Struthio camelus: one gene and its partner. The protein of the gene in region 2 interacts with the protein of the main gene of each other region in a biochemical or structural test. Links are inferred from orthologs where the notes say so. Each region holds a gene or a part of one and is shown on either strand. Other genes may lie near its edges.

What was found.
Region 1: the proteins of CASK (region 2) and CNTNAP2 form a complex in vitro, tested with the Homo sapiens proteins (2 studies listed by BioGRID and IntAct, with this or other methods). The link is inferred for Struthio camelus from reciprocal best matches to the Homo sapiens genes CASK and CNTNAP2.

Annotation. Positions count from the first base shown.
Region 1 is NC_090943.1:61,393,870-61,400,851, reverse strand, and holds the start of CNTNAP2 (contactin-associated protein-like 2), read right to left. Parts: upstream 3,045-6,982; 5' UTR 2,297-3,044; coding exon 2,200-2,296; intron 1-2,199. UniProt on the Homo sapiens protein: Required for gap junction formation. Required, with CNTNAP1, for radial and longitudinal organization of myelinated axons.
Region 2 is NC_090942.1:127,538,591-127,546,581, reverse strand, and holds the start of CASK (peripheral plasma membrane protein CASK), read right to left. Parts: upstream 3,002-7,991; 5' UTR 2,937-3,001; coding exon 2,878-2,936; intron 1-2,877. UniProt on the Homo sapiens protein: Multidomain scaffolding Mg(2+)-independent protein kinase that catalyzes the phosphotransfer from ATP to proteins such as NRXN1, and plays a role in synaptic transmembrane protein anchoring and ion channel trafficking.

The DNA.
Region 1 (6,982 bases), on a different chromosome or scaffold from region 2:
TACAAGAAAACAGAGCACAGTAATCAGTTTGTATACTAAAGCGTGCAACAGAATAACCAGTTAAGTGGTGCACCAAAACACCGTGACATAACACATGAGTTCCTACTGTGGTACCATTTCAACAGTACGGACACGTCTTTTAGAAAAAAATTCTAAACATTTTTCATAAACTGTAATGTGTGTGCTCTTTTTGCAACTGATTGACAGGTACTTGCAGCTATGTGTCTGTTTCCAATAAACAAATCTATCTGCTTTTCACTTTCAGAAGTGAATCAGAAATGTAAATACATAAGGAGTGTAGCGTATATGCCCTAGGGAGGTGAATTTATATGAAGAAATCTTCAAATAGCTGGAAAAAATCTGTAAGATGGAAATGTATATGAGTAAATTTGAATTAAGATTATATATATCCTTTTCTTCAAAGAGTTTCTGGTTATAATCATATTATTACTGCCTCTAGCTTCTCAACTAACTTCTTTCAAAACTTAAACATTTGTTTATTGGGTAATGAGATAAGCTATGGTGGGTCATTTTCAAGTTAAACTACAGCCATTAGCGACCGATTGACAAAAAAGCTCTAAATCCTGTTATAAAAAAAGAATACAGGGAATGTTATTTTCCAAGAACAGATTTTTGATAACCTAGGGCATAAATCTTCTTCTTGTCTTTTACCGTTATGCACAGTACCCTAGGGATGATAATGGAGATATAACACTCAGAAGAAAAATTAGATGACCAGTCAAGACCAAATAGTAAACCTAGGACTGGTATTGTTCCTAAATTAAAGGAGGAAAAAAAAATCAACCTGAACCTATATCCTATAACCTCTGAGACTTCGATATAACACAAGCACTGCTGTAAATCTTCTGTTGTCATACAAATAAATATCTAAGCAAGTGTAGGCATATCCTGAAGCAATAACATTGCTTTATTTTTCAAAAGGTATCAGATGATATCAGATAGAAACCCAGTAAGAAAAGTACAGAAATGCTCCAGTGCCCTAATCGTTGCACTGTTCATTCCCTCTGCCCCTGAAAATAAATAAATAAAAACAATGATCCACATACATCTCTATGCAGTATACACATTACATTCTAAGATGATCCCCAGCTTGATCAGTAGAACCAGCCCACATACAGATACACACACACAACTCCAACGCATCTATCTGTAACATTTCTGGAATACTTCTTCCTCTATAAACAGCAGAGGAAGTCAATAGTAGCGTCTATTTTTGATGATTCTATAAAAATGGTAGGCTTCCTTTCAGTATGCATTTCAAAAATAGTTTGCAAATGGCAAACGCTTTACATCGGCTGCAGAGAAACAACTAAACACTTAACATTAACATCTACCTGCAAATGTTTTACTGGAAACTACGGTTCATTGCAACATTAAAGGTTTGACCTAAAACCCGTTGAAATCAATGAGTATGCTGTCATTTTTACCCTGACAGCAGAACTGGGTCCTGTATAGGTGCTCTGCACTCTTCCAGTCTAAAGTTTAGCATTTCATCAGATGCTTCATTATTTCTCTACCACTTCTGCCTCCCTAGGAGGGCAATTTCTGGTCAGTTCCAAAATACCTTTGCTCATTTATTATGGGAAGCAAAACTTCCCTCTCAAGAAAAGCTGTCCTGGTTCAGTTCCTTCTCATCAAGTCACTGTCACTCCTTCCTCTTCACAGAAGATAAAATTTTCTCTTGCTGCAAACCTTTACTTTCTAATTCTCCTTTATAAAACACTAGTTATGGAAACTGCCCATGTCTCCTCTTTTCCTTCCCACAAACGCAGAAGTGAAGTACTTCCAAATACAAATTGCACACCTTCTGAACAAGGGGAAAAAAACCAAAAACCAACCAACCAAAAATCCACCCCCAAACTTTAAACGTCTTTCTTCCGATTCCTTTCCCCCTCTGACTCCACTGCAGAACCAAGTCTGTATCACGGAGCAAGTCTTTCAACTTTCAGCATCAGCTACCACCAGCCTCACTAAAATTATCAGCATAAGGAAGATCTGATGAGAGCATTGCAAACAGTATCAAACCTCAGTGCACACATGCACAGGCAAATACACAGAAAATCAAACACAAGATTCACCATCAGAGAAAAAATAAACACCCTCCCAGAGTTGTGGGAAGCCCCTTCTGGTTTATTGCAGAGCTGAAAATGTGCATGGTTCTCTGAAAAAGGTACTTACGAGATGCAGGGAGAGCAGTCCTGGCTCTGCAGCTAATGCTGCTGAAAATCCAGAGGAAGAGAGCTGCCCTGCAGCCAGCTCGGGTAACCACAACCATCCTTCACTTCCTGGCTCCCTGTACTCCAAATGCCAGCTGCTGAAGACCTGCTTTTCTCCACTTTGCCCCCTTCTCTCTCTCTCCTCTTTCTTGGAGGAGGTGGCGAGGAGGTAAAGGGGGCTGGGCTTTACCTTGGGGTAGAAGCCAACCCCCCTCTTCGTCTGCTATCTCTTGGTTTGCAGCAGCAGGATAAGTCCCAATACTTTTCTTTCCCTTATTGCTCTATGTGAGTGTGTGTGTGTGTGTGTGTGTGTGTGTGTGTGTGTGTGTGTTTGTGTATGTGTGTGTGTGTGTGTGTGTGTGTGTGTGTTCCTCCTTCTCAGGGGGAAAATAAAAAGCCACAAAGTATCAGATAACAAGGTTTGTAGGAGGAGAGAAAAATAAAAATCAAAAAAGCAACCCCCAAAAAGGGGAGGGGTGGTGGGGGAGAGGGAAAGGGAGATAGGGATGAAGGGAAGGGAGAAAGGAAGAAAAAGCTGTTGGTGCTGCTAATGCTGCTGTTAATGCTACCACTGCAGCTGAGCCCTTCTTCCTGCACAGAGCAGCGCTGCTGAGAGAAGCTTGCAATAACCTCCCAGCTCAGATATATATACACAGTGTACACGCACACACAGCTAGGGAGCCAAACACACACACAGGAACCGGGAGAGGGAGAGAGAGGGAGGGAAAGACACTCCCGTAGCAGAGAAGCAGGCTCAGAGCCTCTCTCCTCATGCATTCATCATTTTCCAGCAGGAGGAAACGCTGCCACCAGCAGAAGCAGCAGCAACCTCCCCAAAACACCGGGGGGGGGGGGGGGAATAAAGAAAGAAAAAGCAGAAGGGAGAATCCTCTCTTTAGCGCTCCCTCCCCTTCCTCCAGCTCCTCCCTCTTCCTCTGCGCCCCTCCGGCCGCCAGGACCCTCCTCGTCCTGCCGGGCCTGGTTCAGAGCCGGAGCCGGGGCACCTCGGCGTGGGCCCGGGCCGCGCAGGGCCGCCGAGAGGGGCCGCGGGGAGGCCGCTGTCCGCGGTGCTGAAGTTGTGCGCGGAGGCGCGTCGCGCCGCGCCGCGGGGCGCCGCTGCCCGCCCCCGGGCGCAGGAGCGGCGGCCGCCGCCGGGCTTCCGCCGCCGTGGGCGCCCCACGGGCGGAGGTGGTTCAGGCTCGCAGCTCCGGCCTCCCGGGATGCCAGCCAGGCGCCCAGCAGGCAAGTCTTCCGAGCGGTCCTAGTCCCGGGGGGCTGAGCACCATCCCGCCTGTGGAGAGCTGGGGCTGCAGGAGCCGCTCATGCAGACGCTTCCCTCCGGTAGTGAATTCGCACACAGAGAGCGAGCCAGACAGAAAGCTGCATTGAAGCAGCGCTACGGGTTTTGCCTAAAAGCAATGACTGAGGTCGAATTCTAGCCTTACAGTTCAGGGGTTTCAAGAATCTGCCTTCTCTTTTCCATCCCTTTCCATCCCTCCCTCCATCACCCTTAAACAGACGGAACTGAAAGTTATTGCTCACCAGATATGGTAGAATAATGGGGGTGGGGAGTTATTCCTGGATTATTTATTCTACCATCAGTGAGGCAAAGAAAAATGAAAACAATTATTTCTCAGATGCTATATAGAGAAGACTGAGAAATGGAGAGAGATAACTTCTTTAGAGGTGCCCAAAATCAGTGATAAAATTTTTTTCAAGAACTAATACACATGCTGTTAACCAGTATCTGCTGCTATTTAGTGAGTATGATGAAGTGGTTAAGACTGCTTGCAAGATGAGATTTTCAGAAAGGCCATGGGATATTAAGATCCTCTGTCCTACTGCTTTTCAGTGGCAGCATCTATCTTTTAGGTCACTTTGAAAACTCATTCATACATAATATGTGATATCCCAGGAGAGCTGTGGCCTAGAGGTTTGAGCACAGCACAGGACAAAGCTTATGTGCCAGTTCTGGGAAAACCTGTCTCAGTAATCTTACGCAACTACCATAATACTCCCTTCTCCATCGTTCCCCTTGCTTTCCACATCAATATGGAATATTAATACATCCATATTTTAAATGTTTTCTCAGAAGTAATGCCAATATGTCTGTAGCAAATGTGGAATAAAAAAGTGCACTATGAATGCTAAAAGTTACCACACTTAGCTCTTTTTGAGAGAATATATGTTCCCACAGAGAATTTGCTATCTACTTCCTGCATCATCCTGAGCCCTGTGCCCTGCCCTCCCCAGTCTGCACACCCATAGATACTTCTTAATGTTGAGTAATCACTAGCGTAAGTAAGTTTTTTGGAATGAGCTAAGAACCAAATATTAATCAATGCCATTGAACTAATTCAATCTTACCTCTCTCTGTAACTTCTTTCTTATTAGCATCTTCCATTCTCCTCCTGCTCCATATCTTACCACTTTTTACAATTGCAGACCTACATTTTCTGGTCTTTAGCTACAGCAGAAGCAACAGTGCTGATACACTGTCAGAAACTGACTGAATATATTCACGGAAAAGAGAAAAACATCTGGGTATGATGTGCAAAAAGCCGTATCACTTTCATCTTGAGATCCTGTAACCCTTTCAATATTGAGTGGCCTTTATTTTCACCTGAGCAAACAACTTCTGAGTAGGTATGTAAAAACCTACTCAGCTGACCATTTTGCAAAATAAATACCCTCTCCTTAAGGTGCTTCCAATAAGCACAACAAAAGCAAGATTTTTTATACTTGTATATCATCTACTCAGTGAAGTCCTCCACTGGACCAAAATCTGACTTGATTCAAATTGATCAAACTTTACACTTCAGCATATTTTAATTGGGGCTTTCAAAAATGTATTCAAGTGGCTCACAAGTAGACACCCACATTTCAAAAAGCAGTTTTAAAGGATAAGACAAGCAATCCAAAACAGGAAGATTCAGCAGGTTGATTGATGAACATCTCAGTAGTGGTAATAGTGGAAAGTTTCCCTGTGGTTTAAGACGGAAGAAATGGTACAGATTATTGCATTTTCCCCACCTCAGAATAGGACCTACCCTTAAAAACTACATAAAATATTTAAACTATGCAGCAACAGCAATGAGTTGTGCAAGAATAATGCAATTATTTTTAATATAAACACTGCTGGGGCCTACCAGATCACTAAATTTGACTGGTTCTGTCACACAGAAATCACTGCGAAGATCTTTAGGCATTTTAAGGCCTACAAAATAAGCTAACCAAAATACACTTTTTTTTTTTCCCTGAACGATATTTTTGAAACATCACTTTGAATGATTCAACAAATCCAAGTTGAATATATAAGCCCTTGAAATGAAAACATGGTCAAATTGTATTAGGGCACAATAAGAAGTTATTAGATGCTTCCCTCTTCTACTCTTCCTCCTACCCTTTCCTTTCCAGAATAAAAGAAAGCTTCAAAGCAAGCATTGAGACAGCCCTGCTGTCTGGTCTGGACATCTGTAAGACTGAGCGCTCCTATCCTGCAACTAGCAAGTGCCTGCAATGTGCGAGGGCTGTACTGATCCACCACACAATGCAGGTTAGGAAAGTGTCCTAGCAGTGAGTGGGACAGATGTACCAGCCAAGACTCACTCAAGGAGGCGCTCCCAGCTGAGTTACTCCCATAGGGAAATTAAACCTTCCTTATCTTTCACCCCCTTCTCCCCCCCAGAGCTTTAGAAGTCAAAGAGGACATCTCAGTCTGCAGATGAAACCTGCCTGGGAACTGGTAAGACACTGAAGTGTTAAAAAGAGTCTAGTTATTACAGCTGTACACAAATTTTATTGAGCTTAATGGAAATTATACACACATATTGATGAACGAATAGATCCTTCTGAATTTACTAGGGCTGTCAAGCATTGTCTGCTAAATGGAATTCATCATGGACACAGCTATATTTACACTATGTGAATGTCAAGAAGAAAAACACAATGTCAGAAAGCTAGAAAATGCAATTAAGAATTTCAAATATTGGTAAGACCAAATGGCACCCAATAAAGTGATCAGCTGAGGATCACAGAAGAAAATGAATCAAATTGAAAAGGAAAAGGAATATGAAGCTTCCAAATTAATTCTGAAAAATAAAAGCCTTGCCTATTTATCTCTGACAATCTAACGTTTTAATACATTTCTTCTTTTTGTATTTTTGGTTGCCAAAAACCCCTTGAATGTCAGAGCTCTAAAAATCATCCTTAGCAGAATTCCCATCCAAACCTCTGTGATGGTAAATTTAAGCACTTCACGCAGGAAAAAGAAATGCAATACCTTTCAACTTGTGACCAACCAAAACTTTACAATTATATGCACAGAATTATGTGCCATATAACAGAGAGCTCTATTATTGAAGCAACTCTTGGATTTGTTAATAACATTGCAGGGTTCTTCACCTGGACTGTATAAACACATAGATTTTCTCTGAGGGAGGAAGAGGGCACATGAAGAGTATGATGACCTGCCTGTGAGAAGCTTTAAAACATTTGTAGAAAATTTTCATTTTCTCAAAATTTAAGAAAAGAAGGTCTTTCCTAATGTAGCTAAAAAGGAAGATGATGGTGCATTAGCAGAAAAGATCCATTATCATCTTCTAGTCTCATGTAGCTAAAAATACACAGCATTGCAGTTTGAACTGAATGTATTTTGGCCTTGCAATCATTGTTTTGCTGTTCTAGATTTATAAAAACAAACAAACAAATAAAAACAGAAATGTGTGTATAGGTAATTGTAGTAA
Region 2 (7,991 bases):
TTCCAGAAATTGAAAGTTATACTGCCAATATAGGCAAAAGAAAATTGCCTTTAAGTTCTTCTAGAGGAAACATGAACTAAAATTTCCCTCTGTTCCTCCTGGCCCTTTTCTCCTTCACCCATTCAAAATGAAAAAGGCATGCATAGAGAACTTAAACATGTGAAATGCCATGTAATAAACAGTTTATCCTTCTGTCATTTCAGTAAATTCATTCATATACTACTACATTGTAATTGTTATACACTCCAGCACACCAGAAGTTATTGTCATTGTGTTTATATAAAATAAGTCCATCACTTGGATCAGTTTATTGTATTTAAAACTGTTAATCTAAAGTTTAAAATAAGCCTCAGCAAACTGGACCACAGAGTTTCCCAGCTGATACTATCTCCCAGAGATTACTTATTTTTTAAAGTCAACAGAACAAGAACTGAGAGATTTCTCTTACAAGTTTGACTACAAAATGATGGAATGTTTAGTCTAAAATCTCTTTCCCACACCCTTTGTGAAAATATCTTTCTATCTATTTAAAATGACAGCGGTAACTACATATTTAGGAAAGATAAATTACACATTTAAATATTTCATGCATCTGAAACGCAAATCAGGGCCAGATATGTTATCTGCAAGAACTGAATTACTGTATCAATCAATAATAAATCACAGAAACATGGAGACATTTAGTTGATGTTTCACTGAAAGATGTTTAGTAAGATGCATATGTAGCAATTCAAAGCAGATTTACAGCAGTCTTCCTCAAGTTGCTTGAAGATGAGCAAAGCGCTACGTAAAAGACACTAAAAACATTGCATCCGTGGTCCCTAGGAAGGCATCCTTCATAGTGCTGCACAGAAACAAGAATATTGCTTAAACAACTGTATATGATACTATGTATTTCTTTCAAATGTTTTTAGAGGACTCACATAACATCTGTGCAGAAGATCATCAGCACTAACAACGAGCTATATAATCCTTCACATCACCACTGCTGCTGTTTTCAGTGACCCACTCTGTTTTTGCCACAGTGCGCTTGGCATCATTATACTCCTCTGATTTAACATTTGTTAGATTGATTTACATCCCAATGCGACCTGTACTACAAAAACGTCATGTGAAACTTCTATAGCTAATATCTAACTCACAGCTTTTGCGCTCTCTCTTCAAAATTCTCTGATCACAAAACAAAAAGCCCTTTGAAACGTGCAGACGTTTGGATCCCTGTGAATGATCCATTCTCTAAAAGGATGTGCAGTCACATTAAACATAACCACTACACCTTCTTCCTAACAGTAGTCAGATATGAATAAAATCAGGTATGCGAACTACAGTGGTTAGCATAAAACCACTTGTGAAATAAATGTGCCAAAAATAATCTTCAAAACACGTTTAATAACAGGGTTTTGTTTCTCTCCTACAGAAGCTCTTCACCAAACCACTAGCATTAAGTTAGAGCAATCACTTCAGTTTATGCCAGTAAACAAGGCCGTTGCAGCTCAATCTCTAGGAAAGTTGGTTATGTTAACAGAAAGCTAATAACCTGTTAAATGACAGAACTACGTGCTGAAACTTTTGCAGACAATGAAGTAACCTGCTAAGTCCAAGACCAGCATTTTAGTATAATTCTGTGGAAAGATTAATTTCAGATTATTTTTTTAGCCCTAACTTTACAAGTAGGCAGCTCTTGATATAGCAATTGAAAAGCATATTGGTGGAGAGTGGACAGGAAAATGTAGGAAGAAAAAATTATTGGTTTAAATTCAAACCAATTATTCTTATAAAATTCATTGTCACGAAGAAAAAACTGCAGACACTCCAAACAGAATCACTATTAGGGCTTCCACAGCAATCTCTGCTTTTGAATCAGAAACATACAGAAAATTAGGAAGTCACAATATTGGTACACCTCTCATGCCCATTTCGCAACACAAGCACAACTACAGAAGACATACAAAAGATGACAAAGAAACATAGAATGGATTTCAAAACTGGAGAGTCACAACCAATGGAGGAGGGGGGGGAATTAGCTTTAATTCTTGATTGTCCCCTGATTTTTGGGATTCTCTTCATTTCCTTGGCGTGATTATACAAAGACTGACACTCGGACTGTCATTTTCATCCACCAATCAAAGCAGTGACCCAAAACGAGCAGCTGGGCAATTCTAGCAGCTACCTCAACTGCTAGGTTTGACACAAGCCTTGAACATTGGTTTAATAGCGGTTGCATAATAAGACTCAAAAGGCCAAGTTCTCTTACTGCCCGATACATCTTTATTTCCACACGGATGAGGGTGGAAGGCAACTGAGCACTACCTGAGTGTGACTAGTACCGCCACTAACAAGCCGGTTATCATGCAGTAAAGGAAAGAGAAAAAAACCCAACACCTGGCGTACAAATACGCAGACGCCCAGTGGATAGGTGGATCCACAGAGAGAGATACCTTTCCTTTCCCTTCCCCAATAGGCAATCGTTGATGGGTGTGCCAGGAACGGGATATAGGGGGGAGGAGAAGAAAAGGGGTGGGAAGTGGTTGCTGCAGCCAGGCTGAGTGATGGTTAGGCGGTTAATCATGGTGGCTGAGGAAACATCGGGTCACTTCTCCCCCTTCCGCCTCCCGCGCAATAAAGAAGGTGGGCAGCGCGGAGAAGGCACTTGTCATGTCACCGCCACGAGCACAAGGGGGGCCGCGGACCCCACACCGCACGCACGGACTCACTGGCGGCGACTCAGGTGGGTGCCGAGCAGAGCATCCCTCTCCCTCCGCGCCCCGCGGGAGGGGCCGGGCACGGCGCTACCGCGGCCCCCGCCGCCTCCTCCCCCGCTCTGCTCGGTCGCGCACACGCACGCCCTGCCCGTCTCCCACTGCCCGCGGGACTCACTTGCCGATCACCTCGCAGAGCTCGTACACGTCCTCGAACAGCACGTCGTCGTCGGCCATGGTCCGGGCGGGGGGGGGATCAGCCCGAGAGGCGGCGGCGGCGCCGGCGAAGGGGGGAGGGCGGGCGGGCGGGCCGCGGGCACGATCCCCGCCGCGCGGCGCGCTCCTCTGCCGCTCAGCGCCAACCGCCACCACCACGGTAAATCCCAACCGCTACAACGGCTCCCACCGCCGCCGCCACCTTCCTCGGGCGCCGCCGCCGCCCGCCCGGCGGCTCCCACGGCCGCGCCGGGACTCCCGGCGCCTCCTCCTGCGGGCCGCGGCCGCCGCCGCTCCCCGCGCGTGTCACACACTCCGCGACCCCACCTTCCTCCTCCTCCTCGTCCTCCCCCCACCCCCCTCCCGCCCCCTCCCTCCCTCCCCCTCTCAGCCGGCTACTCCCCAGCGGCGGCGGGCGGGCGAGCGGGCAGCTCTGGCTAGCGGGGCGGCGCGAGGTCCATGGAGGGGACCGGCACCACACGGCGAGGAGGGAAGAGGGGCCGGCAGCAGGCGGCAGCGCCGTCTCGCTCCCTCGCCGGGCGGGCGGCCGCGCGCTCCCGGCCGGGCGGGCGGGGGGGGGGGGCGCGCGCGCGCGCCCGGAGGGATCGAGGGAGGGAGGGAGGGAGAGAGAAGGATAATAGTGGGAGGGGGAGGGGCGGGGAGTTGCCGGCGCGGCGGTTGATTACGCTCCGAGGCGCGAGGCGCAGAAGCAGCAGCAGCGGCGGCGGCCGCGATAGGCGCTTGCTTTACTGGAGGGCGGGCGGGCGGGCGCGCGCGCGCTCCCAAACACCGTCACGCAAAGCCGCCGCCGCGGCGCGCGCGCACCCTCCACAGGCAGGCCGAGCAGGCGCGGCACGCACGCATGCACGCACGCGGGGGGCTGCGCTCGTTTCCGCTCGCTTTTCTCCCCACCCCCACGCCAGCCCCGCCAGAGTCGTGCGCGGGGCCACGCCTACTGGCCGTTGGGGGCGGCCCGATGTGCGCAGGCGCGGGCTCCGATGACATCATACCGCGGGGAGGGCGGCGCGGCGCGGCGCGGCGCGGCGGGTGGTTGTCAGTGCCCGCTGGTGCGGTGCGGGGGTGGGGGGAGGGGAGTGAGCAGCCCGTCGGAGGCGGGGCGAGCGGCGGCGGCGGCGGGCAGAGGAGAGGAGAGGAGAGGAGGCGAGTGGGCGGGCGGGGTTCAGGTATTAACCTTTCTTATCTTTTAAGCCGCCCCCTCCCCCGTCGTCAGTGTGGGGGGAGGGGGTATCGCCGCCGCCGCCTCTTCCTCCAGCTCGCAGCGAGCCAACGACTGCGCGCGCGGCGCCGGTGGCGGGTGGTGCCGCGCGCGCAGCCGTTGGCCCCGTCGCTGCGTCGCTGGCGCCTCACGCACCGCTCTGCGCGCAGCCGCCGGAGGGAAGGCAAGGGCCTGGAGCTGGCGGGCGCCTCATGTGTAGGCAGGTGCGGGAAGAGAGGAGCGTTTCCCCACTTGCCGTGGGTCGTTAATGCTGTTATTTATGGAAAAGGTGAGGCGTTTCAGCTGCACGCGTGTTCGGTAGGGACAGGCGTCCTTTTTAGTTTTCACGGACTTGGTTGTAGAAATAAAGAACAGTTACGCAGAACGTTTCTAGAGCTTTGTCCAGGTGGAGTGTGTTTTTTTTTTTTCCTACCAGTCTATTAGTTTCAGGAGGATGTAGATATTTTCTGTAGCATAATTTGTTTCCCCTTCGTTATTAGGAAAACAGCCACCTTCTTACTAGTCCTCAAAGTAGTGAATTAAAAGAACTTTTTAAAGAGTGTCCCTAGATGTACTTTTTCTCCTTTGGGCAGATATGTCGTGGCTTTTTTTTTTAATCTTCTCTGAATAACCCTTTAAAAAGAATGACTAGACATTCAGTTAATTGTAAACATAACTTACTTGATACATTCTGTTCTGTTACTTTTGACCCATTAAATGAAATTCTGTACAAAAGATAGACTAAGTTGTTTAGCTGTGCTTTTCCAATGTTTGAATTAGATGGCTTGCAGAAAAAAGCAAAGCTCTTGAAGGAATTATCCAGGAAGTGTTTTGCAGTTTATGGAAATATTTATTTTTGCTGAAGTACTTTAGCACACATGCAACTTCTTAAAACTCATTAACACAAAGGGAAATTATGCATTTGTTTCCCCTGCACAGGAGAAAGCCTGTCAAAGCAAAATTATCCGATGAGATGCTTTAAAGATTAGCTTTAAAATGCAGAACAAAGGACACTTTGGCAAGAACACCTCCTTCCTTTCTCCAGACAAATTCAAAAGACAAATCAAGAGAATCTGTGGAAATAATAGCACGTATCTCCTGCACGGTGGTAGCCTATGCGGTGAGAGACATTCCCGTGAGACTATGCTCTAAGCCATACAAACCTTTATAAAAAATATTAAACATCATCTGCTATTTAGAATGCAAACAGAAAGCCAATAGTTAGATTGTCTACTCCCTGAATTTCACACTGCTAAACATGTAAGCAACTGTCTTTCACTTTTCTGAAGCCAGCACAACCATGTAGTAGTACCCTCACAGTGTTAAACTCAAGAAGTTGCAGAATATGGATGAGCATTCATTTATATTTTGAACAGAAATTGTCATCTGATTATCTGCAGGGCCATTATTAGAAGCTGGCAAGAATAATTGATACAAGAACACTCAAAGAAGAAAAATGCATATTGAAATAGCAGATCCATTCCACAGCTGAGGCAGATGCTTTTTCTGTTCTAGCAGCACCACTTCACAGAGGTCTCACCTTCTGAATGCCGAGCACCAAGAGGTACGCGAGGCTACGTCACCTGCGTTTGACAGACAAAGCCAAACGCTAAGAGTACTAAGCATAGTGCTTATGTGGGGAGCTTCAGGGCAAATTGTTATAACAGAACAAACCCTTTAAGAACCTTGGAGGGCAGCTGGCTCCATCGTGAGATGGCGGAACACGTAAACATGGTTTCCTAATGGAACAAGGTCTCAGCGCAGAGAGAGTCAGAGTCATCGTCCTGGGAAGGTAGTTTCTGGGAGCACACTTAATACAAATGGACTTTCCCTATGATAGGCGATTCGTTCCCTAGAGTCTAGCCTGCTTGAAGGGTCCTACTACCTTTGAGGAAGGAGGATGATGGCTTCTTTTTTACCTAATGGCCTAATTGTTTCTTTGCGGAACAAAATTAAGACACTCTTATTAGAGTGGCTGTGGCATTCATTGCTTGGGCTTGCAAGAAGCAAGACAAAAGTATCAAAGGCTGCAAATATATCAGATCTCCTCGTTTAACAGGAGGAAGACCAAAGCGGGTGCTAACTTTTGACTTGGGTGAAAAGAAAGAATTTGTCTGAAGCAGGATCTAGGATTTATATGCAGATCTGTATTATCAAAAGTTGCTACAAAAATAGCAGAATCAGTAAGGGTATCACTAAGTCAGAAGTTACTACGATTGATGAGAACTATGCGATAATCTGTATCTATGCTAATCTTAGATTCAAATTGATTGGGCTCACGAAAATAAGAGTGTCAGTTTGTCAACTTTGTCAGCAGCAAACTCCCAACAATAAGTATGATCATCCAGGCAATATACATGCAGGTATGTTTGTGATCATGAATTTCATCCCCAAGTTTGAAAGTGGTCATTCCCTTGCCCTTTCACAGGCAGGTGTTAATAATCTTCACCCGAATATCCAATATATCTCCTTGATAGATTTCAAGAGCCACAAGAGACATGGGTTTGATTTAAAAGCTTAAGGTTGAATTCTGAAATACACACATCTGAAATCTCATAAAAAAAGTATATAACAAAATTCTATTTGAAATACAAGCAGAAAAAAACTTTACGCTTGAGACCTGGAATGATTTGCTTAAAAGGATGATGAAAACAGTTCAGCGCATCAGCCATTGCAGGACTGGGAGAGGGATGTACTCACTTCTTCATAGGGAACACAGAAGAACGAGAACACTGACTATTGAAAGAAAAGATATGCTTTATCATCCCTGATTGCCTTCCCCAACCCGCTGCAGGCATTTGCGCTGTTTGTCAGTCAGATTCTGAGCTGCCAGTTTACAGTGTTATATTTTTAGGCAAACCACTATTGTTTAATTCAAAATTTCATGTTAAAGTCGTAAGAAATAGCTAAGTGTGGGTTTGGGCACTAGAAAATCTATTTCATAAAACTTTATGGGGTTTCCAAATTTTTTCTGGCTGTGGCCTTCTTACGGTGTGCCTGTATGTCTGTGAGCCTATATGGCTCACTACTGGTGAGCCACAAAGCAACAATAAGTTGTTCAAAGGTTGTTTATAGAACCATAATTATGAGTAACATTTGATCAGCCTTTATAGTGTTTTCATTTAAAAGCATGCTGTAAAAGGTACATGGTGATTAACATGAAATTCTAGGAGCTGACAGTAGTCTGTAATCCAAAAACTGTAGGAAGCACCAAATTTGATAACCGAGATGCTAAGCATAGTAGTGCTCCTGGTACTTTGATCTGTAACCTGTGTATTTGATCCACTCCCATTATGAGGTTTCAGAATGATATTGACACTAAAGATGAGTGATTAGTGTTAGTGATTCATAAGACAATTTTAGAGGCCTACCACATTTCTGACAAACTTTACCATATTGTTTATGAGTGCAAATTCTATGACCTGACAATTCATAATTTGGGCAACAGAAATGTGTTTAAGTTGCAATGAAAAGAGGTGATAGTTGGATCACGACATATACATTTTCAGTCCTTGTCAAAAATGTCTGTATCAGGAAGATCCTAAAAAGCCATCAACCAACTCTGAATAAGTCTGGATAACTCCTCACAGAAGTATGTAATTAAGTCAGCTTGGAAAGCGAATGTATGGCAGAGCAGTCTGCAACAGCTGAACTCAAAGGTAATGCATTGAACAAGCAGTTCCACACCAGAAATAAGAAGGCCTCCTTTCCCGTGAATGTGTATCTTACAGGTAAATGGTATGTGTGTCTAGAAAAATCTCTCTCTAACTGCATTTTCTCCTTACTGGAGCTTTTCAAGCTCCTCTGCAATGTGAGTTCTCCATTGTTTAATGAAAGGTGAACTTCCACTGCCACCCGTA